4 linked regions of the Caenorhabditis elegans genome follow. The protein of the gene in region 1 purifies or fractionates together with the protein of each later gene. This does not show direct contact. Each region holds a gene or a part of one and is shown on either strand. Other genes may lie near its edges.

Region 1 (5,029 bases):
ATCGACCACCAGATGTTGAGTCTCATATGATTCGTTTTACAACTCAGTCACCTGAATGGGCGACACCTTCACCAACATGGAATCCAGCATGGAATACGGTTACTGCAGAAGAAGAAACCCCGGGAATTCCAATTATTCATAGTCAATGTCAAGTGAATGGAGAATGCGAACTGAAATATGACGTTGATTCGTTCTGTGCTCATCCAAGGTAAGGGCTCCTTTTCAGAAGAAATATCAACATTTTATTTTAGATCTCCATCAATGTATCTTCAATGTGCTCCATTGTACGGTAGGTTGGGAAGATGGACTGAAAGATATTGTCCAGATACTTTGATATTTATTGTATCAATTGGAAGATGTGAAAAGGGAGAAGAAACTCGTAAACCATATGATCCAGACAATCGAGTCGTGATTCCAAGACTACCTTCGGAGACTTCATTTGTTGAGTGGAAGGGTAATAGGTTAGTTTTTGATAGAAGTTATTTAAATTTTATAAATAATTGGAAAACTCGTAGCAGCTCATCAAATTGATCCGAGAAACAACAGATAGCAAATTTTTCAAAGCATTTTTTTCGAAAACTGTTTTTCCAACTTCAAATCGATTGCCATGACTTTTTGGATTTTCAGAGTGATTGACCATCAACTCCCAACTCATATATCCCCGCCACGAGTTTATCCGCCTGTCCCGGAAACTCACCAACCTCAAATCTACAGTACTATTGATCAGTTCCCAAAGGATTTGCTTCCAAAGATTCCAGAATTAGCGACAGCTGAAAAAACCTATGCTCAACAATACCAAAATGTACATAATTTAACTTCAAAAATATTTTTTAAATTCTCATCTTGTAGCACATTCATGGAAGTGTGGTTAGTGGAGGACATAATCATCAAGTTGTTCGACCAATTGCTCCAACTCCAACAATTGCTCCAAATTCGAATGTTCCAGTTTCCTATCAAATTTCTCAAAGCCAGAACTCACTATCAACTAATGTACTGAACATTTAACAGATTCTGTATTTACAACTTTATTTTTCAGAGCATAAAATCCGAAATTGATCTTTCCCACATACATCCACTATTTCCACGTGTTCAGCCAGATTTTTTAAGTCGAATGTTGCCATCACTCAATTTTAAAATGCACGATGAAAACTCTGGAGCTCAATCACTTGGAAGTGTAGTCAAGCCTGTGCTTAAAAAGGTAAATATTTTATTAAAAAATTGAGATTCTTATTTCTCCAATTTCAGATCGCTCTGAACCAAACTGAACAGTTCTTGGATCGTTTATTGGCTGATCAAAAAAACGATGAGAAGCTACGAAAAGAAACAATTGATCGGCTAAAGTCATCAAATAGCGATAATATTACGAAAAAAAATTAATTATAATTTTAAAATAATTTATTTGCAGAATTGTATTATTTTAATTTGTAAAAATGAAAACTGCGAGCCTCATGGTGAATTTTCAGAAAATTAATACAATGACAATTAAAAATTAGTGAATTATTTAGAACAATTAAGTATTTGTCGCTCGCAGTTTTTATTTTTGTGAATTTCTGTTCGCTAAAAATCTTTATTTCTTTTTGTCGTCAAATTGGGTGTCGGGTACGCAAATACTGCAAACACCGTCACGCACATTTGCGGATGATGATTTCTCAAAATATTTTTTTAAATGTTTTTCACCGCCATTTTCTTTTTTCTCAAAATTTGCTTTCCTTTTTCATTTTTCCACATTCTACCTAGTTTTCGAAAGTCTTTCTGTTCCCCACTTGTGATAATATGATCTCCATTCGTTTAATCAATAATAAAGTGACAAATTTAAGTGTTTTGTTTAGTATTAAAGTTTTCGGTACTTATTGGTTACGTGTCTAAAGTATTTCAAAGTTTAAATGGAAAATGTGCGTTGTTTAAAAGTTGAGCTGTTTGTTTTCTGAGCTTCGTAATAGGGTAAATTTATTTTGTCTTCATATATCTTGCGCGCAATTGCGTTATACTTCAAAAATATTAGCATGCACCCAAATAGAAGAAATAAAAGTAAGTTGAAACCACATCGTAGGAGGTAACGAAACATTGTAGTTCGATGTATTAGTACAAACGCACGACATATTTTCGTTTCTGTTTTTTTCATGACTATTCGGATGAAAAACGCTTTTGTACTGTTCAGATTCGTAAAGCTGATTAATTAAAACAAAAATATTTCGAAATAGCAGTTTGACGTTTCTTTTTCATGAAAATAATTCTGTTCCGTGGTTACATTTTCTGAAACTATTTTTTTGCAACAACGTTAAATTTTCATTTCTAGGAACATGTCTGCCGCTGCTTTGGAGGAAATCGGTATTGCTCCATTACAGGAGAATACTTCTCTCCGTCCGCCACCACTTCCAGCCACCTGCGTTGATGTATCATCAGACGACTATATCAAGCTTACAACGCTGGAACGTCAACTGGCGCATCTTCAAGTTATGGAGGACTATATCAAGCTGGAGACAAGAAACCTTGAAAAAGAATTGCTTCATGCTCAGGAAGAAGTGAAGCGTATTCAATCTGTGCCACTTGTCATTGGACAATTCCTGGAAGCTGTGGACCAAAACCATGCTATCGTTGGAAGCACCACCGGATCCAACTATTATGTCCGTGTTCTATCGATTTTGGATCGTGAGCTGCTTAAGCCAGGATGTTCGGTGGCCCTTCATAAATATTCAAACGCACTTGTTGATGTTCTTCCACCAGAGGCTGACAGCTCCATTCAAATGCTTCGTCCTGATGAGAAACCTGACATCTCTTATGGAGATATTGGAGGTCTTGATATGCAGAAGCAAGAAGTCAGAGAAGCTGTCGAACTTCCATTGACTCATGGAGAACTTTATCAACAAATCGGAATTGACCCCCCAAGAGGAGTTCTCATGTATGGACCACCAGGATGTGGAAAGACTATGTTGGCGAAGGCTGTTGCTGCAAATACTGCTGCTTCCTTCATTCGCGTTGTTGGATCTGAGTTTGTACAGAAATATCTTGGAGAAGGTAATTATCAAGTTTTAAAACACCATTATTGTAACTTTTAGTCTTTTAGGACCACGAATGGTGCGTGACGTCTTCCGTCTGGCAAAGGAAAACAGCCCATCTATTATTTTTATCGATGAAATTGACGCGATTGCTACGAAACGTTTCGATGCTCAAACCGGAGCAGATCGTGAGGTAAGATTACTTCGAGATTGATAGTTTTTTCTCCGAATTTTAGGTCCCTAGAAAAAAGTTTTGTTAAACAAGTGGTATTTTTCCAGGTTCAACGTATTCTTCTCGAATTGCTCAATCAAATGGACGGTTTTGATCAAAGCACTAATGTGAAAGTTATCATGGCCACTAATCGACAGGATACTCTCGATCCTGCACTTCTTCGTCCAGGTCGTCTCGATCGTAAGATTGAGTTCCCATTGCCAGATCGTCGTCAAAAGCGTCTCGTATTCTCAACCGTCTGCTCTCGTATGAACCTGTCGGATGATGTTGATTTGGAAGACTGGGTTGCTCGTCCAGACAAGATTTCAGGAGCTGATATCAACTCTATCTGTCAAGAAGCTGGTATGCAAGCCGTTCGTGAGAATCGTTACGTTGTGCTTACCAAGGATCTTGAGAAGGCCTACAAGAATGTTGTGAAGAAGGATACCAACGATTTCGAGTTCTACAAGTAAACCACGAGTTACTCTCCGATGACCCTCCAGTTCGTCCTGTGAACCATATTTTTACTATAATTTATTGTATTTACACCGTGTCTCGCATAAACAATTTGCTCTTCACCGAACGTTCAAAATCTTCATACATTCATTCTGGTGAAAAAATCAAGATTAACAGTAGGTGTAAGTATAATAGTAGGTATAAGTTCAAACTAATGTAACATTCCTGTCGATTGGTCCAGAAACTGAGTTCCAAATACTAAAAATGGCTTGATCGTAATTGTTAGCTCCAGATTTTCCAGTTGAAGACATTTGAATAGTTGCTCCCTCAGACTTCTTCAATTTTATTCGGTTAAAAAAACTTGAGAAGCTTCCAATAACGAAATTATATGTAGGAACTATCTGAAATTTTTTATTCATCGTGTTTTCTTAATTTTCATTCATCACTGTTGTCGAAAAAGTTCTGACTCCGAATAAAGAGTCGGGGTCTGAAATTATCAGATTTCCGAAATATCGAAAAAATACCACAGCAGATACATAAATCCCGAATGAAATAATATGAATTAAAATAAGAAATACGGAAAATTTAGTGGATTGATAGACTTCTTCCAGTTGATATTTTACAGCAAGTGAAGAATTTTTCAATTGTAATTTCAATTTAAGATTCATTCGAAGTAATATTAAATCAAATATAACATCTACGAGATTGACGAAAAATATAATTATAAAAAAGGTAAACGCCTGAAAAAAAAGATTCATCGTGAATTTTATTTTAATTTTTTTCAATTTGATCATATAACTTCATAAAGGTTTCTTGATTGACAATCGATATCGATTGTAAATCGAATTTAGAAATATCTAATTTCCATTTTCAAGGGCAGGTCAATAATATGGATGGGTCCTGCCGCGATCTCGATATCGCTCGAGATCGCGATATGCATTCTTTTAACTTATTTTGTATGCACCTTTAAGTTACTGTTTTTGTATCATTAAAGGAGCATGTACATAATAAAAGAGAAATCTGAATTTATAGGTAAAATAAACTGTAAAACTCATCCTACTTTCTGAGCAGCGACTGCTGGAATAACAGAAAACGATACATTTCCATCAGTGTAACTTTCATCTTTTAACATGTTAAAGATAATACAAAAGTTCAATAGAACCTGAAAAATCATATAAATAATTTACCTAAAAAAACTTGAAATTACATTGAATCCAACAAGAATTGGCCCCATAACTACCGACGCCTTTTCATATTTTTCTGCCGTTTCCATCGCAAAATACCGTTCAATTGTAACGGAGCACGGGAAAAAGGTAGAAAGTGTTAGGAAAAACAAAATGAAAAAATTCCAAATTTTATGAGGAAA
Region 2 (6,249 bases), on another chromosome or scaffold:
AGAATCTTGGTCAAAGAGCAAACTCCAGATGCTGGCTCAGCATGTCCCATGTTAGATTTGACTGAACCGATTAAAAGAGAATCAGTACGCTTGGAGCAGAAAACTTCACAGATTGCGTTGGCTTCCTGTGGATCTCCGACCTTAGTTCCAGTTCCGTGAGCCTCAACGTAGTAGACTGAGTTTGGATCGATTCCAGCCTCAGAATAAACTTCTTGAAGCAATTGAGCTTGTCTTTCTCCTGATGGGAAAGTGATTCCATGCTCCTTGTGCCCTAAAATTTAAATGTTTGAGAAAAACTCATGTTTTAATTCTGGAAAAAACTCACCATCAGTGTTAGACTTGGCGTGAACAACAGTTGCATAGAGTCTTTGAGCCTTCTTCTTGCGTTGAATGAAGATGGCTGCAACTCCTTCAGTACGACAATATCCATCACCAGATTCGTCGAATGAACGGCAGCTTCCCTTATCTGTGAGCATGCCCAATCTCAAGAATTGGAGAGCTGCAGTTGGAGTCAATGTGAGATGAGCTCCTGCGACAATAGCGGCGTCGCATTGACCCTGAATAATTAAATATTAGAATAATTTTTCATCTCAGATTGAAAGTAGAAATCATCATAAATTGAACTTGCATAAAAAACAAAGCAACGAACCTGTCTAATAGAGTCGACGGCAAGTTGAAGTGCCAAAAGTGAAGATGAGCAAGCGGTGTCCACCGAGAAAGATGGTCCTTGCAAATCGAATGTGTAAGAAATACGGTTAGAGAACATAGAACGCACACAACCCGTCAACGTGTAGCCCGTTACAGTATCTGGGTCTTGTGTGAGCATTCCAGAGGTTTCTGAAGCTGAACATCCAACAAAAACTCCTGTTTTGGATCCACGGAGGTCAGTGGGATTTATGCCTGAAATTTGAGTATTATTATTTAATTATTCCTTTTTTGTTTTTTAATTGAATAAGCACTGTTCTTTTCCCAATTTCTTTATTTGACTTGTTCAATATTCCAAAATCATAAAAGTGGAACATCCTACTTGCACGGGGTCAGTAGTGCGCGCGCATGACGGTCTCAAGGTTACCACCACAGCCCGGTACATCGGGGCACACTTTTTCCGATTTCCGTCTCCTTTTCCGAGGGAGGGATATAGATAGAGAATACGAGAGAGAAAAATGGACATACCCGCATCAACCATTGCCTCCCATGAAGCTTCAAGAAGTAGTCGAACTTGTGGATCCATGAAATTTGCCTGTTTTGGAGTAACTTGAAAAAAGCCCGCGTCGAATTTGTTCAACACTTTCAGTTTTCCATGTCTTTTTGGCAGATCGCAAAATCCTGGTGTCCATCTGAGAGAGTCTTCCGTTACCAGGTCTTCACCAGCAAGAAGCATGTCTCCGAACATTTTGACGTTATCGCATCTGAAAAAATTGGAACGTTTGACATATTTCAGTAAAATCGTGAACGGTTTCCGCAAAAACTTAAAAATAAGATTATTTAAAATTATTTGTAAAATTCTTAAAAAAAGTATATTTTACTTTGAAAGCTTAAATATCGGATTATTTTAAACATATCAACGGATGATCATTTTTACAGTTTTGTATAGGTCAAATTAAAATCAAATATTAGCAGTAAAAGTTGATGAGGTGCAGTTCTAATAGAGGAAACGGTAAATGTGATATTGTCAGTACTTTCAGATGGGTTTATTACATTACCCAATTACCGTTCTCATCCGTCATCAAAATTTTAGGTTTCAAAATAGATGTACCTTGGAAATCGGCCCGAGACTCCTGAGATTACGATATCGTCCTGCTTCTGCCACCATTGTGTTGGATCCATGTTGTCCGAAGACTGAAATTTTCAAAATTAGTTACAATTTTAAACCGTTTGAATACAAATCTAAGAATCGAAATGTGATAACAACCATCAAAGTGGTTCTATGAAACTTATTGATTTTAAAATCTCGAAATAGAACCAGACGGACAAAACACAAACACATACGCTCACTTGTGAATGAGGCATGTACTCAGAAATGACAAAAGAAGAGGTGAAGGGAAGATGGAAGAAAAGAAGAAGAATAAGATGACAACCGGACAACTAAGAAAACTAGGAAAACGAAGAAGATGCGGATACGGGCGCTCTGCTGCGCGGTAGAGATGGTAAAAGATAAAAAGAGAGGGACACGGGAACCGTCGAGACATTCGACGATCCGTTTAGGTTCTACGACGACAAATTTTCTAATTTTAGGGTAACAAGAGGTGAAAATTGAATTCCTTGGTTACGGTATCTTCCCACTCACTGAGGGATGTTTTGAGATATTTCAGAGTAATTATCACATTAAAAATCACGTCATACGAGTTTTATTCAAAAAGTGCAGTACTTACTCTAATCTATTTTAATTCAGTGTTTTTCTCAAGTTTCAAGATGTGTTCTGACACTAAAACAAAAGAAGTTGTTTGATTTATGACTGTAAGAGGAATGTATCTTTGTAGCCACGTGAAAAGTTAGAACTAACAATTAATTTTTAGTCAACTTTGAAAGCATTTATCTTGGCTCATTTTACTGGTGTCAAAAAATAATTAACTACAAAACTGTAGAAAATTAAATAACTAATAGTTTGTCAGTTGGTAATTTTTCGATAAAACAAAAGACAAGCTTTCAAAGTCAAGCAATGGTACAAGAAAAAATAATAAAGTACTCGCTGAAAGACCTTCTAGCATTTTCTCCATCAGACACTCATTGTGATTTATACTTGAAAAAAAGAAATGTTTTAGATTGCCAAGTGTGATAATTTGAATAACAAGTGGCGTGATTCATCTGAATTCGCTCACTCCATATTTATACCGATTCAACTATTTCATAACATGATGACTTAGATCACATGAATGAGCTAATCAAGACAATGAAAGTGATGACATTAATACCGGATCCATTCGTGCTTCTTCTTGTCCCGTGAGATAGAATCGGGTAATATCTAAACGACGAGACCGAGGCATTTCCAACATTCCATGTTAATCTACAAAGAAGAGAGAAAAGAGAAATAATAGGAACTCAAAGAAAGGTCGAGATGAGGAGAAGAGATTATCGATAGGAGAGGTCCTTTTTGCAGATGTGATGTCCCTGAGTTGTCCGTCGTCTTGTCAGTTACTGTGTGATCTAATCTCGGGGGCCGATACTGTATCTGATTGCTGTCGATCATCGTCCCTTCACCCGACACGACCCGACAAAAGTATGACGGAAAAAAGTCGCGGAGAAGTAAAGGAGGGAGATGTTTTAGGAAAGATAAACGATTGGGGATACAAGAAAAAAGAAGAAAAAGACGGAGAAAATGAGGAGAACAAAGTTTTCGGAATGGCCGCATTCTTTCGATCTGTTGCGTCTTTTAAGCCATTCCGTCTGCTCTCAGAACAGTGGGCGGAGAGGAGCAAGAAAAAAGTGACTGTACAAAATGAGATTGAATTCTTGAAGAGAGGTATAGAGAAATACAATAGAGGCGACTATAAATAAATATGTGAATTCACCTGAGAATTGTCCGAAATTCGCTCCCAAGTTCCACTCGAATCGGACGATCCTTCTCCAGTATTATCCATCGTTCGATAGCTGAAAAAAGGTTTATTTAGAGAGTTTTCAACAATTGACGAACAAATTAATAAGATTAATTGAAATAATTAATTATTGTTAAAAGTGCTAGAAAATAGTTATATCTATGTTTGCCTCTACCGTACTCATAGATAACATCTAAAACTGAACAAATCACAAAATTTCTTTCGATAAACCTGAAACTGTTGACATCATAGAGGTCAGCTACGTTCAGAACCGGTTTTTTCAACCATGTGTGATTGAGGTATGTTCGACCAAATATGAGTAACTTATTAAAGACGGGGTTTGAAAAGTAGTGAAGTATTCATTCTTATTTAGTCAAGTGATGAAAACCTTGAGTTTTTCGCTCAGCTGTATTTTGTTTCACCAGCAGAATTAATTCTAGATAATTTAGTTGAATTTAACGATTATCAATGCACTAGAAGCAGAATTTAGCTAAAAAAGAATCACAAAGTTGGGAAAAAAGAAGAAGAAGAAGTGTGTACATCTTCGTCGTTCTTTAACCATTCTTGGACATGGACTACACAAGAAGTAACAAGTGAAAGATGAATGGACGGGATGGGGGCGGTGAATCGTTGGTGGTTTTCGACAATGTCCTATCCGAGAGAATAGTCATAAAAGAGACAGAGATTCGACCTTGGGACATGATCGCATCGATGTAAACGGTGACCAAGCCCCGGGAGAGGAGGTCAGAACCTACTTATTATCCCCTCGTTGCCCCCTTATTCCGGCGATGTGGAATGTTTGTGTTCCCACCGCAACGAAAAGTTGCATTTGTGGTCAAACACGCCGTTTGCAGTTTTTGCAGTTCACGTGATTCTCTAATGAATCTTGAGAAAACGAAAAGAGAATCGCCAATTATTTTAAAGAATCGTCGGGACATAAAGGTGTTAAGTCAATCCCTTTTAAACAGATTGGAGATGACCCCATTTCTACGAAACAAGAAGATTTTGCAGCTAAAAGTTTAGAAGCACTTGATTGGTTTTTTTGGGGGAGAGAATCTGGTTTCGATGGAAAGGCAAATATAGTGCATCTGATCTTACTGATTTTGCACGATTATGATCAAAAATTGGCAGATTCTGAACTAAAACCATTTGATCTTTGTTTGCAAGAACTGCACTTTAGATATAATATTCTACATTTTATTTTGCTAAATACCTGGGACGAACGAGGTTACAGTTTTTGTGGCCGGTATTGTCATTGTGTGGGTTTTGGCTCATTAATTTTGATTTATCGATTTCAAAAATAGCTCAAATTTTGCATAATTCCAAGTGAAACGCCTATTGATGAAATCGTACCGCCACTTCGAAAAAAAAAAGAGAACTTTTGGAATATGTGTGTTTAATTAAATAATGTAATTTAAAGCCGACTCTGCTACTGGCATAATCTCTTAATAAATAATAAATAATGTTGCTAGACTGAAAGTTTGGAATTTTGTTGGTTTTTCACTGAACATCTATCCCTTCAAAGTGGCTTATCGCTGCTTTCCGTTCAAAACTACTCACAAAAATAATTAAAATGATTAAAAATAACGTATTAAAGTTTTTCAAAAAATTTGAAATGTTTTTATTTACAGTCAAACATTGGCAATATTTCAGGTTTCACATACTTGGAAATTAGCCAAAAACTATATTCAGGTTTTTTTAATTTAAAAGTTTCATGCGGGTTTACTCTACATATATTTCTTCAAAATCCTAACTGTTTCAAACAATATGGCATTGCCAGAACTTTGACTAACTTTTTTCGAAAATCCAAAATACTTAAAAAATTTAATTGGTTGTGCTATACTATTGTGGCTGCATTAGAACAAAATTCCCACAAACGCTACTCAATCTTCAAGAATTTTCAGAATTTCAATTATCTAGACGGAATGAAAAAGTGGCAAGCGGCGGCAAATTTCACAGCATCATAAAAATTTTTTTTATGATTGCGTGGGATGTTTGGCCAAGCAAAAGAAATTGTACAGAAAAAAATTGAAGAAAAATGGAAAAGAGGAAGATGGAAAATGCTACTTTTTACATTAAATTCAAAATCAAAACCTCCTCCCAATAACGTAATTGCCGCCACATTCTGGTTCTTCTATCATCAATTTGAAAATGTTTGAATAGGACCACACTTTAGAGACCGTTAACAATTAGAAAAACAACAAAATAATACTACAGTACTATATAATTTTGATGAAGAAAATAAACGTTTTTGAAACTAATTTTTGACTACTTTTTTGTTCCCATGCCTGTTAACATCAAGTGTTTTGAAAATGTTTGACAAACTATATGCTACGTCACAGACCAAGGGTGGTCTGATTGTGATCTATTCATCTAGAACAACCATCAGTGCAAACTACTTCGCCAACAAATATGATAACAATTCGTGACGTTGACAAACGGATGTTTGACGTAATTTTTCTTTGAATCGGGAATCGAATGTTTCTTTGGACAATTATATCCGTTGATTTAAATAAAAGTTTTGCAGGAATTCGATGGTTTAATTGAACAATCAGAAATTGCTCTTACTTTCAGGTGGTTAGAGTCAAAAAGAACATAGTATCTACCAAGATCATTTTAGTTTTACGGTTTTTTTTTCAAAATTTCAGATGACTATAACTGAAAATCAATGCAGTTCACAACAAATTGTCAACTATTTGTTTCAAATATTTTTGCC
Region 3 (7,072 bases), on another chromosome or scaffold:
AGAAATGTTTCCGATCTCATCACGATAATAGATATCTTTAGCTTGAGCAGGAAGAACTGTGGTAAACTGTTGGAGTGCTGGTTGGCGACGTCCACGACGGTCCATTTGGTAATCGATTCTTGAGAATGGACCATCAAGCTCAGCTCCCTTGTGAACCAATTCAATGTACTCCTCCACAGCGATGTTTCCCCAGTGAGAAACCTCGATGAATCTTTCCACGATGGTGGCAATAACGAATGGCGAGTTATTTTCATAATGAACTTTGACTGGTTTCGTCTCAAAAGCTGGGATATTAACATATGGTCCGTAGATGACACGTTCCGTTTCTTGTTTCGATGGAGAAACTGTGGTTGCGGATAGAAGCTTGCCTCCTTGAGTGGTTCTAATAGTTGTTTTTTGGGTCACAGTTTCGTACAGGGAAGGAACGTATGCAGATGTGTGAAGAACAACAAATTGACTGTCAGATTGCTGAATCTTGGATGGGAGTGGCTCAAGTACTTGTGTGATACGAAGATTGATTCTTATGGTAACTTTGGCTCCCTTGGCAACAGGAGTTCGGAGGTCTACTTCGTAAACTGCAAGATCCTTTTCGGCTGGTTTTTCAGAAATTTTCAATTTTCCTTTGCTTCCATCGATTCCAGCAGAAATGAAAGAAAGAGTAGCAGATTCTTCTTTAGACAAAGCAATCTGAAAAATAAAGTTGAAATATAGGAAATATAGTGAATTTTCAGGAAAAATATATCTACATACCAAAACTTTCGATTGAGGTCCATTTCCAACGTTCTCAAATGAATACAATGTCGAAACCTTGACAATTTGTGACGTGGCATCGATGGTTCGGTCAACATTAGCGGCTTTCCAAGCGTCTTCAGCGAAAACCGCCCCCAGGAGAGCGATGGCAAATAGCAATCGCATCTGGAAAAATTAGATATACAATCAAAAATGCAGAAAACCCAAAAATGTCATATTAAAACGTTTCAAGAATGAAATTCGACTGATCGAGCAAGACGACATCTATTTGGAATTTAATTAATCAGCTCGTGTTAAAAAATTATCTATTATTACAATCTCAGCACAGAGTAACTTTATTTTGTCACAAAATCATTTAGCAGCAAAAATTCGCATGTACAGACTAGAAAAATGATATTTTTGTTTGGTGAAATCAGCAAAATTCATTATAAGAGCAAATTTCAAGTGTATTATATTGATTTGATGCATAAATTCTGCGAAAATCTATCTTTAAATTACAATAATTTCAGCAAAAAAAAGAGAAAGACGTGGTAAACTCGTCCACGTATTTTGAATCGGAGCCATTCGTGGCGAGACCCACCAGCCGGCATGATGACTGCGCCTTTAAACAAAGTCTGTTCAAATTATCATTTTTTCCGCGAACCGGCGCGGATTTTCAGATTTTCTAATCCAATTGTCATCGTTTTGTTGTTTTTTTATTCTTTTATTCGGATTAGATGTATTTCACTCTTAGTTTCTATTCCTTTTTTCCAAACTCTGACTCTCAAAATAGTTATTTTTCGATGTTTTCATAAAGTTGAAAAATATTCACGTTTTCGAGGGAATTAGTATTTGAATACGCTGTTATAGTTTCTTCGTGACTTAACTGTTTTGTTAATTCTATAAAATTCATTTCGAAATCTCAGCTTCTCTTTCGAATACATATATTTTGAAGGATCGAAAAATGGTGGCGACTACTCAACAGACACCAAAAGAGGCGGACAAAAAGAAAGCCGACGATAAAAAAGTTCCCGAGAAAGCTGAGCCAAAAAAAGAAGAGATGGTTAGTTTAAAGAATAACTATTGTTTAAGCCGTAATGAGACTTATAGCTTATTTATTTCAGAGCGAAGAGGATCAAAAACTCGAGGAGGATCTCAATCTTCTTGTTCAGCGTTTATCTGAACCGGACACAACACTTTACAAGCCATCACTGGAGACTATGCGGACATTGATTCGTGCTTCAACCACATCGATGACCTCTGTTCCAAAACCTCTCAAGTTTATGCGTCCGCATTACAATAAAATGAAGGAGATTTTCACATCGATCGTGGCGCCTGACGTTAAGAAACTTTGCGCAGATATCATTTCAGTGCTCGCAATGACATCAGATGAGCGAACCGACACGATCAACTATCGTATTCTTGGATCACACGAGCCGATCGGGGATTGGGGACATGAATACGTTCGTCATTTGGCGATGGAAATGTCAGAGGAGTGGAAGAAGGAAGGCACTTCGGATGCGAGAAAAGCTGAACTCCTTAAGTTGACTCAGGATATTGTCAGCCATCACATGAAACACAACGCAGAAGTTGAAGCGTGCGATTTGCTCATCGAAATTGAGCGTATTGATTTGCTGATCTCTTATGTCCAAGAAGTTGATCACCAACGTGTGTGCCTTTATCTTCTTTCATGTGCCCCATTGACTCCAGACCCGGATAACATTATTCTTATTCGCACTGCTCTCCAACTCTATTTGAAATTCAACCGGTATCTTGAAGCTGTTAGATGTGCTATCATGGTCAACGATATTCCACAGGTTCATCAAATATTTGCGAAGGCATCTGACCCGTAAGTTAAATATAACGTCTCTTACTTTCCTAAAGAAAAGTTTTCAGATTGCTTCGAAAGCAAATGGCTATCTTGCTCGGTCGCCATCAGATTTTCCTTGACTACGAGGGATCTGCAGATTCGGATGCTCTTGCCGAACTGAATTCCAATGCTCATCTCTATGAATACTTCCACTCCTTGGCTCGTGAGCTCGACATTATGGAGCCTAAAACTCCAGAAGGAATTTACAAATCTCATTTGGAACATTCCCGGCCATTCGGAAACTCTGCTCAGCCAGACTCTACTCGCATGAATCTCGCCGCTGCGTTGGTGAATGGATTCGTGAACTGTGGATTCGGAGTTGATAAAATGATGGCTGAAACAGAGGAAGCCTCCAGATGGTTCTACAAGAACAAGGAATATGGAATGCTTACTGCAGCCGCCTCACAGGGTCTTATCTGGAGATGGGATATCGATACCGGCCTGGCACAATGCGACAGATTCTTGTATATCAATGACGATTATATCAAGGCTGGAACCCTTTTGGCTATTGGTATTATTTCCTCTGGAATTCAAGATGCTTGTGACCCTGCTTCCGCACTTCTCCTTGATCATGTTCAATCTGATCGGTCAATTATGAGAGTAGGATCAATTCTTGGACTTGGACTTGCCTACGCTAATTCCAAAAGAGAAACCGTTACAAAGAATGAGGAACGCGGTGTTATTTTCGAGCTCAAGAAAGTTCTTTCTGATCAAAAGCCATCGGCTATTCCTGAAGTTAAAGGACTTGCTGGACTTTCTCTTGGCCTCATTCTTGTTGGAACTGCTGATGCGGAAGCTGCGATGGAGATGCTTCAAGCTCTAATGGATAAAAGCGAAACTGAGCTCACAGATCCAAATATGCGTTTCCTTGCATTGGGAATTGCATTGATCTTCTTGCAAACTCAGGACAAGAGTGATGTGTTTGTCGAAAGTCTCCGTTCACTTCCTGATCCATTTGGAGCGATGGTAAGTATTATTTGTTCTAGATCACCTCGAGTTTTGGCTATTCCCTTGTTCATATCATAATGAATACAATTTCAGGTTTCTACGCTCGTTGAAGTTTGTGCATACGCAGGAACTGGAAATGTTTTGAAAATCCAGAAATTGCTCCATCTCTGCTCTGAACACTACGAGACGCCAGCAGCTGAGAAGAAAACTGCCGCTTCTCGTGGACCGCGTGGACCAGCCCCAGCTGCTGCTACACCTGCTCGTCCTGCTGCGCAACCTGGAAATGTCAACGTCGCTGGCACTCCAGCCCCAACTGGAACACCCGCCGTTGCCCCAGCTGCTCCGAGACGCGACCTTCCAGGAGCCGCAAGTGCTGCTACACCAGGAGCTCCAGAGACTGCTGCCGCCGACGCTACTCCAGCACCACCTGCCAAGCCAGACTTGTCATCGCAACAGGCGGTTGCTGTACTCGGAATTGGTCTGATTGCTATGGGAGATGACATCGGATCTCAGATGGCTCTTCGCATGTTCGGACATCTCATCAGATATGGAGAACCAGTTATCCGTCGTGCTGTTCCCTTGGCGTTGTCACTTCTCTCCGTCTCAAATCCTCAATTGAACATTTTGGAAACTCTGTCCAAGTTCTCTCACGATTCTGACGCTGATACCGCTCACAATGCTATTTTCGCGATGGGACTTGTTGGAGCAGGAACAAACAATGCTCGTCTTGTTGCTATGCTCCGAAACCTGGCTTCTTATCACTACAAGGATCAAGTTTCTCTAATGCTGGTCAGAATTGCACAAGGACTTACTCATCTCGGAAAAGGAACAATGACGTTGAACCCATGGCATTCTGATAGGCAATTATTGTCTCCAAGTGCTTTGGCTTCTCTCCTTTCAATTTGCTTCTCTTTCCTCGACGCCAATAACACGGTTAGTGCAAGATTGATATTTCTACCATAATTTATTTCAAATTTAGATTCTCAACAACCGTCAGCATTACTTGCTCTACACGTTGGTGCTCGCAATGCAACCAAGAATGCTTACCACACTGGTAGAAGACGAAATGAAGCCTGGAAGCTTGAAACAGGTATAATTTTTTTAAAAGTTTCAACTCTCCAATGTGATTTTACAGTTGAACGTTTCTGTTCGTGTTGGTCAAGCCGTTGACGTTGTTGCTCAAGCCGGAAAGCCAAAGACAATCACTGGATTCCAAACTCATACTACGCCAGTCTTGCTTGCCCATGGTGAACGTGCCGAGTTGGCGAACGATGAATGTATGCCATCCTAACATTTGATAATTAATTTTTAACTAAAATATTTCAGATCTCTCTGTGACTCCACATCTTGAAGGATTGGTTATTTTGAAGAAGAATCCAGATTATCAGCCGGTTGTTGTATCAACTAAGAAGTAACCAACAAATTTATGGATCTAATTTATTTTTCTCCCCCTTTTCTCCCATCTAAATTATCCGTTTTGACCCGTTTTATTGTGCACAATCCGATTGCATTCGCTCTCTGCCCGATTTCCCGTTTTTCTGTCAATTTTCCCTCTCCCTCATCATTTTTTCTTTGAAAAAAACGTGTACACTTTAAATTTGAGTGGGACGGTATTCGAGTAAATTATTACTTTCAATCTTATCATCCTGGGTTTTATATATGTATTAATATTTATTGATCACAGGAATTTGAAGATCTTCTAGGTATCCTTATCAAAGTATCGAATATATCAGAAAATCCGTCAAGGTGGCGATTGTTCGACATTAGATTTTCAGCATCGTTCGCATACATCTGGAAATAAAATTTAGAATGTTCAAATGTGAGTTTGGAAATTTTAGTTTTTCAGTTTTTAGAAAAGTTTAATGAATTATTACACTCACCTCAAAAGTAGCCTTTTTATCCATAAAAACATCTTTCATTTCATCAATTTCATTAATAATATCACTTGTCAAATATATAACAACAAGTGTCATAATTGCCATAAAACATAAAATTCCAATAGCAGCAAAATCAGCGATGAAACGAAATTTGTATAAAAATTCGGATGTATTCATAGTTTCGAAAAAACTATAAAGTTTCAAAATTTGATGTATTAAATGGAAAAGTAATAGAAAGAAGAAGCAAATGACCAATACAATTAGACAAAGAATTGAAAACTACAGAAAACAGGTGATAAAAGATAAGAAAAAGTGAAGAGATTTAGAGATATTTGTAGAGACTAACCAGTTTGACGAACTATAGAAGTGAATTGTGTAAACTTTTAGACTTTTTGTGATTCAAAAAAAAACAGTTTGAACATTTGAAATCACAGTATTATTTAAAGGTGCAGTGTTTAGCAAAAAATTATCGTAACGAGACCCGGTCACCATATTTCCGGCACAAAAATCTAACAAATAATGTTATAAGCCCATTTCATAGTTTTTAACATTTCCCACCAATCTAATCGTTTTGAAAACCCATTAATTTTTTTCAAAAATATTCTTGCAGGTTCAGTAAAACGAGATGAGCAGGAACAATCTTATTGTTTACATGAATCCGCCTGACATTTTACAAGAATACTGAAATTTGTGAAAATTGCACATAAGATATGGGACCAGGCGATTAAATACAATAGGGAATGATTATCTGACATGATTAAACTTTAGGATTACTTAAACAGGATTTATTGGTTCGTTATTGATGTTGAACGACCCTGATGATGACGTGCTGGATTGAGCATAGTAATCGTCAAATTTGTGGTCGATCAAACGTTGCCAACGAGTCCGAACCATCCCAAATTCCTCATCATCTTGGCGTTCGGTGTTCGTTTCTGAAAGCAGTGTTATTAACATAAACAACCATTTTATCTTATTAAAACATACTCTCACAAATTTCCTGCTCAAGAAAGCGAAGAGCGCAGACAAAGCCATTGATCACTCTGAAGGCAAGTTGCGAGTTCTTTTTGAATGATTGCAGATTCCATTTGTCTGTGCCAAGGATGTCCCGAAATTGAGCGATAGCGTTTTCGAACGGCAGGGATTGCACATTGTTATTGACAAGAAACTTTGTGATGGCATCGTAGAACATCCGCAGGTCGTCCAATTGAAGGATTCCTGTAGATTGCACATCAAGGACGCGGAACCAATACTCGATCGATTGATTCTCGTCAGTCCCAATCATCGCAAATATGAGCCACGTCACTTCTTTCGTATCGAGATAGTTTCCCGTTGAACGACGCACTAGGTTACTCGAGAAGATTCGGTCGACGATTATTGTTGGAATACCGGTTTCGTAGCAGTAAATGGCGATGGCATTCGAATCAAATATCTCATCCCATTTGCCAATATGATTGAGCTCGACTGCGCAGAGTTGTCCGGTGTGCCTACAATTTTAATAATTAAATGACTAATCTGAGATTATAGCCGATTACTTCATGTACCAATCCTCGCATGCATAACGCACGTAGTCATTTAGAAGATCTTTAGTCTTAACTTGAATCGTTCCCGTCCACGTTCGCCCAGCAGTCCAGAGTATACGCTCAGTGAC
Region 4 (4,557 bases), on another chromosome or scaffold:
AGGTCCCGAAAGTTTGCGGACTTTCAGATAAATTGCATTTTTATAATGAAAATTTTGCGAAAACATGTTTCTAAAAAATATTGTTAAGAAATTTTGAAAAAAATCAGCGGATATTTAAATTTTCAAAGAAAGTTTTTCAAATTTATTACCCAGACGTTAAAATTTGCGATTTTTGCGCCGAAAATACGGTATTCGGTCTCCACACGGTAATTTTCGGTTAAATACAAACGGGTGTCCGCCTTTAAAGAGTACTGTATTTTAAAAATTTTGTTGCTGCGGAATTTTTATCGATTTTCCATAATCTATTAAAAATTTAGAGTTTTTTTTTAATATTTTAGTTTTTAAAAAGTAAATAAACATATTTTTATATGATAGAAAAACGATGAAAAATTAATAAGAACCCCGGAATAACAAAAGTTTGAAATTACAGTATGTATGCAGTACTCTTTAAAGGCACACACGTTTTTGTGTTTTAAAAAAATTGCCGTGTCGAGAACGGGTACCGTATTTTCACATCAAAAATCGGAAAATTTAGTATACGGGAGATTGATAAAATCTTATTGAAAATTAAATGTTTTAAAAAATGCGGAAGGGAATTTCAAATTCCGCTCTTTTCTTTAACGATATTTTTATTTTTCGGAAATTGCTGAGACTCCTTTTCCACTTTAAATTATTGTATCAGTTTATAAAAGAAATTATCGGGTCTCGCCACGATACGTGCGCCTTTAAACCGTACCGTGCAATTCTCCATTTGAAGTGGTCCACCATCTTTCGACTCCTTTTTCAGAGTCGTGTTATGGATATTCGCAATTGTAAAGTCTTCGGCATTAACTTTTTCTCGACGATCCCTTAAAAATTAATTTTTCGGGTCCCGCAGCGATGCGCCTTTAATCTTTTTTTGAATTCCAGACCTAAATATCTAAAGAAACGAAACCTAGAAACCTCAGAGAGGCGCTATCAAAATGATTGCAACAGGTCTTGCAGCGAAATCGAATTTTTTTAAAAAATTCACTGCGAGACCACAAATTCCACTTACCACGAATACTTTGGAGGTTCACCTCCCTCTTCCGGTTTCGGCACCGCATCCTCGCTGACCTTGTAGCGATCCTCACGTTTAGACCGGCGCCCAAAAAGCTTTTTCGAAAAACAACAGCTCATTGTTCGAGGCTCCCGCAGAATATGCGAAAGTGAGTGAATGAGCAGCGCGAGTTGCTCGGCGAGAGCGCGCGTTGCTATGGAAACCCATGTGAGAGCATCACGTCGCCTTCACTTCCGATGCGAAAGAGGAGGAGCGCAAGACGACGACTTTAATCAACAATTTATTACCACTTTCGTTCAAGAGGTTCAGAGGTTGGGATGGGGGATAATAGCTGCAACCAGCATTCACATATAATATTTGAGATGCGGGGAAGAGGATTATTGGAAAAAGGAGTGAACGAAAGTTTCAGTTGAATACATTATTTCGAGTTACAGAACAATGAAAAGACAACGAAAATGGGGGGAATGATGATTGATTTAGTTGGTCTGGCTTGGGCAGTCGCGGGAGATGTGTCCGGTCTCCTGGCACTGGTAGCAACGCTTCTCCTCGGCCGAGCCACTCTCGGTGCACTCGCGGGAAATGTGCCCGGAGCGTCCGCAATTGTAGCACTTTTGTCCGCCGAAGCTTCTGCCTTCTCCACCGCGGCCTCCGTAGCCACCGCTTCCTCCCTCAGATCTGGCGGATGGGCAGTCACGAGAGTAGTGTCCACGTCCTCCGCAGTTGTAGCACGATCCACCGCCGCCGCCACCTCCACGTTGTCCTCCTCCGGATCCTCCCTTGGGGCAATCGCGAGAGAAGTGTCCAGTCTCTTGGCAGTTGTAGCAGGTGGATCCTGAAATAACATGAAATTAGTCTCGAGATTTCCGCTGTAAATTTATCATCAAATAACTCCTAATCTCCGCCAGCTTAAACACATTTCTCTTCGCCTCCACTTCTCCAGAACTTCAAAAATTATTGCAATTCGGTAAGAAATCAAGAGATAATGTATTTACCTAAATCAACTCAACACCCCAAATTCAACACCACTCCACCTCCTCCACCTCCTCTACGTCCACCATCGGACTCGCCATTCGGGCAGTTGCGGGAGATATGTCCCGGCTGTTGGCACTTGTAGCAATTTCTGTCCGACATTACTGCAAATAATTGATTTTAGAAAAAAGAAATTATCAGTTGCGAGGAATTACAAAAAAATAAACGGTTGAATGTCACAATTTCAATCAAAAATGGCGAAAATTCAGAGAAACAAAAATCCAAGACAGTGAGGGCGAGAAATCATGGATATTCAGTGACTAACATGACAAAAACTAATAAATACATGGAAAACTAGTTATAAAAACCAGTTTTAACGGGAAAAAAGTCGGCGAAATCAGAAAAAATCAAAGAAAATGTGGCCAGAACGTGTCGATCGTCCCAAAATCGAATGTTGGCCGCGTGCCAGGAAAGTTAGATGTGCAGGCAGTCCGGTGGAGCGCCAATTCAAACGTCATTTTTGCTGCATTGAGATTTGATGACAATGTTTTTTCTGCTCGGGTTTCTCGTTTTTAATGATTTTATTCTGAAAAATAACTACTAAATTTGTTTTTATACATTATTATTGATTTCTTAACGTTAAAATAACTTTTAAAAAATGAATTTAAGTCGATATTTTGCAGATAATGGATACTATGCGAGATGAGAAGCGCAAAGCCATTCCGGCAATCGGGTTCTATCCACAGGAAGAAATCAGCACTGGAGTGAGATTTTTAAATTGAAATTTCCACTAAAAGCTCAATTTTCAGACCACTCTCATCGCTATGGAGTACAACGGTGGAGTTGTCGTCGGAACCGACTCGAGAACCAGCGCCGGCTCGTTCATCACCTCCCGTGCCACCAACAAAATCACCCCGATCACCGATAATATGGTTGTGTGCCGTTCTGGATCTGCAGCGGACACTCAAGCGATCGCCGATATTGCCAAGTACCATATTGATGTTTATACGTAAGGAATTTTCAGTTGTTTTAAAATTAAATAAAATAATTTTTTTAAATAATCACTTTTTTCAGCATGACAGAGAACAAGCCAGTGACAATCTACCGCTCGAGCCAGATTTTCCGCCAATTCCTCTACAACTACCGCGAGCAGCTCTCCGCCTCAGTGCTCGTCGCCGGCTGGGATGAGGAGCTCGGCGGCCAGGTCTACGCAATCCCAATCGGAGGATTCGTGTCCCGCCAGCGATCGACAGCTTCCGGCTCCGGTTCCACATTCGTGCAGGGCTTCCTCGACAGTCAATGGAGACCAAACTTGACGCTCGAGGAGTGCAAGGCGATCGTGAAGCAAGCCGTCGGACTCGCCACCTTCCGTGACGGATCCTCCGGCGGAGTTGTCCGTCTCGCCGTGATCAACAAAGCCGGCTCACAGTTCGAGCTGTTCCGTCCCGACAAACCAGGATTCCCATTCGTGCAGACACCAACTCCACATCTCTCTTTCCCACCGCACATCGAACAAGTCCTCTAAAATCGTTTCGTTTTTCGATCTTCTATTGTATTTTCCCCTGTGCGACTATACTGCTAAGTTATTTGATTTCCCTCAATATTTATGAAAATTCACACTTGTCATCATTTTCGTTTCAATGCTGCTGCTGCTACCGCTGCTATGTCAAAAGTGCAGTAATTGGTTAGCCAAGCTACGCAATTGACCGGTATTCTCCTCCGGGAAACTGGTCACGTGGAACGTCAAGCGATTTATTAGAGTTAATTTAACAGAAAGAGTTCATAAATTGCGAAAATATACACGTGGCAGGTTATGGAAAGACGAAAATATTGCAATGGGCGAGTATCTCTAGGGAGGAGAATATTCAAAAAAAAAATTGGGGGAAATTAGAAATTAAAATCTGCAATCGACGAACTGCAAAATTCTGCCAAGGATCGTCCACGTGTACTGGGAGCCGCCAACGTTTGTGCAAGTGGCGAGCAGAGACGGAGCCGCTGAGATTGAAGCTCTTTGCTGAAAAATTAAGAAAAATAAAAATAATTGTTCCTTGTGGTTTCTTAGTTTTCACAGCTGAAAAGATACGGAAAGTCTGCGGATTTTCAGCGAAAATTGTAATTTTTTCTAAAATTCTAAAAAAATCCCCGAAATTTCGAAAATCAGAGGAAATTTAAGAAAAAAAAAATCGATTTTGGAGCCAAAAATGCGTTACCCGGTCTTGACACGATTATTTTCCGTTAAATACAAACGGGTGTGCGCCTTTAAAGGGTACTGTAGTTTCAAATTTTTGTTTCTGCGCGATTTTCATCGATTTTTCATAGTTTTTCGTACTTTTTACTTTACATTTGTAATTTTTTAAAAATGAAATACTATTTTGAATCGAAAAATAACAAAAAATCGTTGAAAATTCCGCTGCACCAAAAGTATGAATCTACAGTACTCTTTAAAGGCGCACACCTTTTTGCATTTAAGGAACATGTGTCGCGTCGAGACCAAATTACCAAGAAATTCGATTAAAAATCCGATTTTTCGCTGATAATTTGAAAAATTT

What was found.
Region 2: the proteins of rpt-3 (region 1) and fasn-1 fractionate together in Caenorhabditis elegans (co-fractionation; one large-scale study listed by BioGRID). This does not show direct contact.
Region 3: the proteins of rpt-3 (region 1) and rpn-1 fractionate together in Caenorhabditis elegans (co-fractionation; one large-scale study listed by BioGRID). This does not show direct contact.
Region 4: the proteins of rpt-3 (region 1) and pbs-1 fractionate together in Caenorhabditis elegans (co-fractionation; one large-scale study listed by BioGRID). This does not show direct contact.

The regions. Positions count from the first base shown.
Region 1 is NC_003281.10:6,487,499-6,492,527, forward strand, and holds rpt-3 (putative 26S proteasome regulatory subunit 6B), read left to right. Parts: upstream 1-2,294; 5' UTR 2,295-2,300; coding exon 2,301-3,015; intron 3,016-3,064; coding exon 3,065-3,189; intron 3,190-3,275; coding exon 3,276-3,680; 3' UTR 3,681-3,784; downstream 3,785-5,029. Other genes in the region: Chitin binding domain containing chtb-2, read left to right, coding at 1-208, 252-461, 628-802, 850-990, 1,037-1,198, 1,246-1,377; srb-11 (Serpentine receptor class beta-11), read right to left, coding at 3,870-4,064, 4,110-4,403, 4,724-4,825, 4,871-5,029. UniProt on the Caenorhabditis elegans protein: The 26S proteasome is involved in the ATP-dependent degradation of ubiquitinated proteins. The regulatory (or ATPase) complex confers ATP dependency and substrate specificity to the 26S complex.
Region 2 is NC_003279.8:8,982,945-8,989,193, forward strand, and holds the start of fasn-1 (Fatty acid synthase), read right to left. Parts: upstream 3,597-6,249; 5' UTR 3,579-3,596; coding exon 3,510-3,578; intron 1,840-3,509; coding exon 1,757-1,839; intron 1,410-1,756; coding exon 1,174-1,409; intron 901-1,173; coding exon 650-900; intron 558-649; coding exon 326-557; intron 272-325; coding exon 1-271.
Region 3 is NC_003282.8:6,904,526-6,911,597, reverse strand, and holds rpn-1 (26S proteasome non-ATPase regulatory subunit 2), read left to right. Parts: upstream 1-1,684; 5' UTR 1,685-1,693; coding exon 1,694-1,792; intron 1,793-1,853; coding exon 1,854-2,578; intron 2,579-2,625; coding exon 2,626-3,565; intron 3,566-3,640; coding exon 3,641-4,480; intron 4,481-4,526; coding exon 4,527-4,637; intron 4,638-4,682; coding exon 4,683-4,824; intron 4,825-4,873; coding exon 4,874-4,962; 3' UTR 4,963-5,178; downstream 5,179-7,072. Other genes in the region: ribo-1 (Dolichyl-diphosphooligosaccharide--protein glycosyltransferase subunit 1), read right to left, coding at 1-687, 751-915; T22D1.17 (Col_cuticle_N domain-containing protein), read right to left, coding at 5,219-5,338, 5,428-5,601; T22D1.5 (EF-hand domain-containing protein), read right to left, coding at 6,199-6,356, 6,409-6,908, 6,957-7,072.
Region 4 is NC_003282.8:1,707,880-1,712,436, reverse strand, and holds pbs-1 (Proteasome subunit beta), read left to right. Parts: upstream 1-2,691; 5' UTR 2,692-2,694; coding exon 2,695-2,772; intron 2,773-2,817; coding exon 2,818-3,017; intron 3,018-3,082; coding exon 3,083-3,533; 3' UTR 3,534-3,634; downstream 3,635-4,557. Other genes in the region: rpi-2 (Protein XRP2), read right to left, coding at 737-848, 1,037-1,158; K08D12.3 (CCHC-type domain-containing protein), read right to left, coding at 1,516-1,871, 2,071-2,170; pugs-4 (C6 domain-containing protein), read right to left, coding at 3,903-4,022.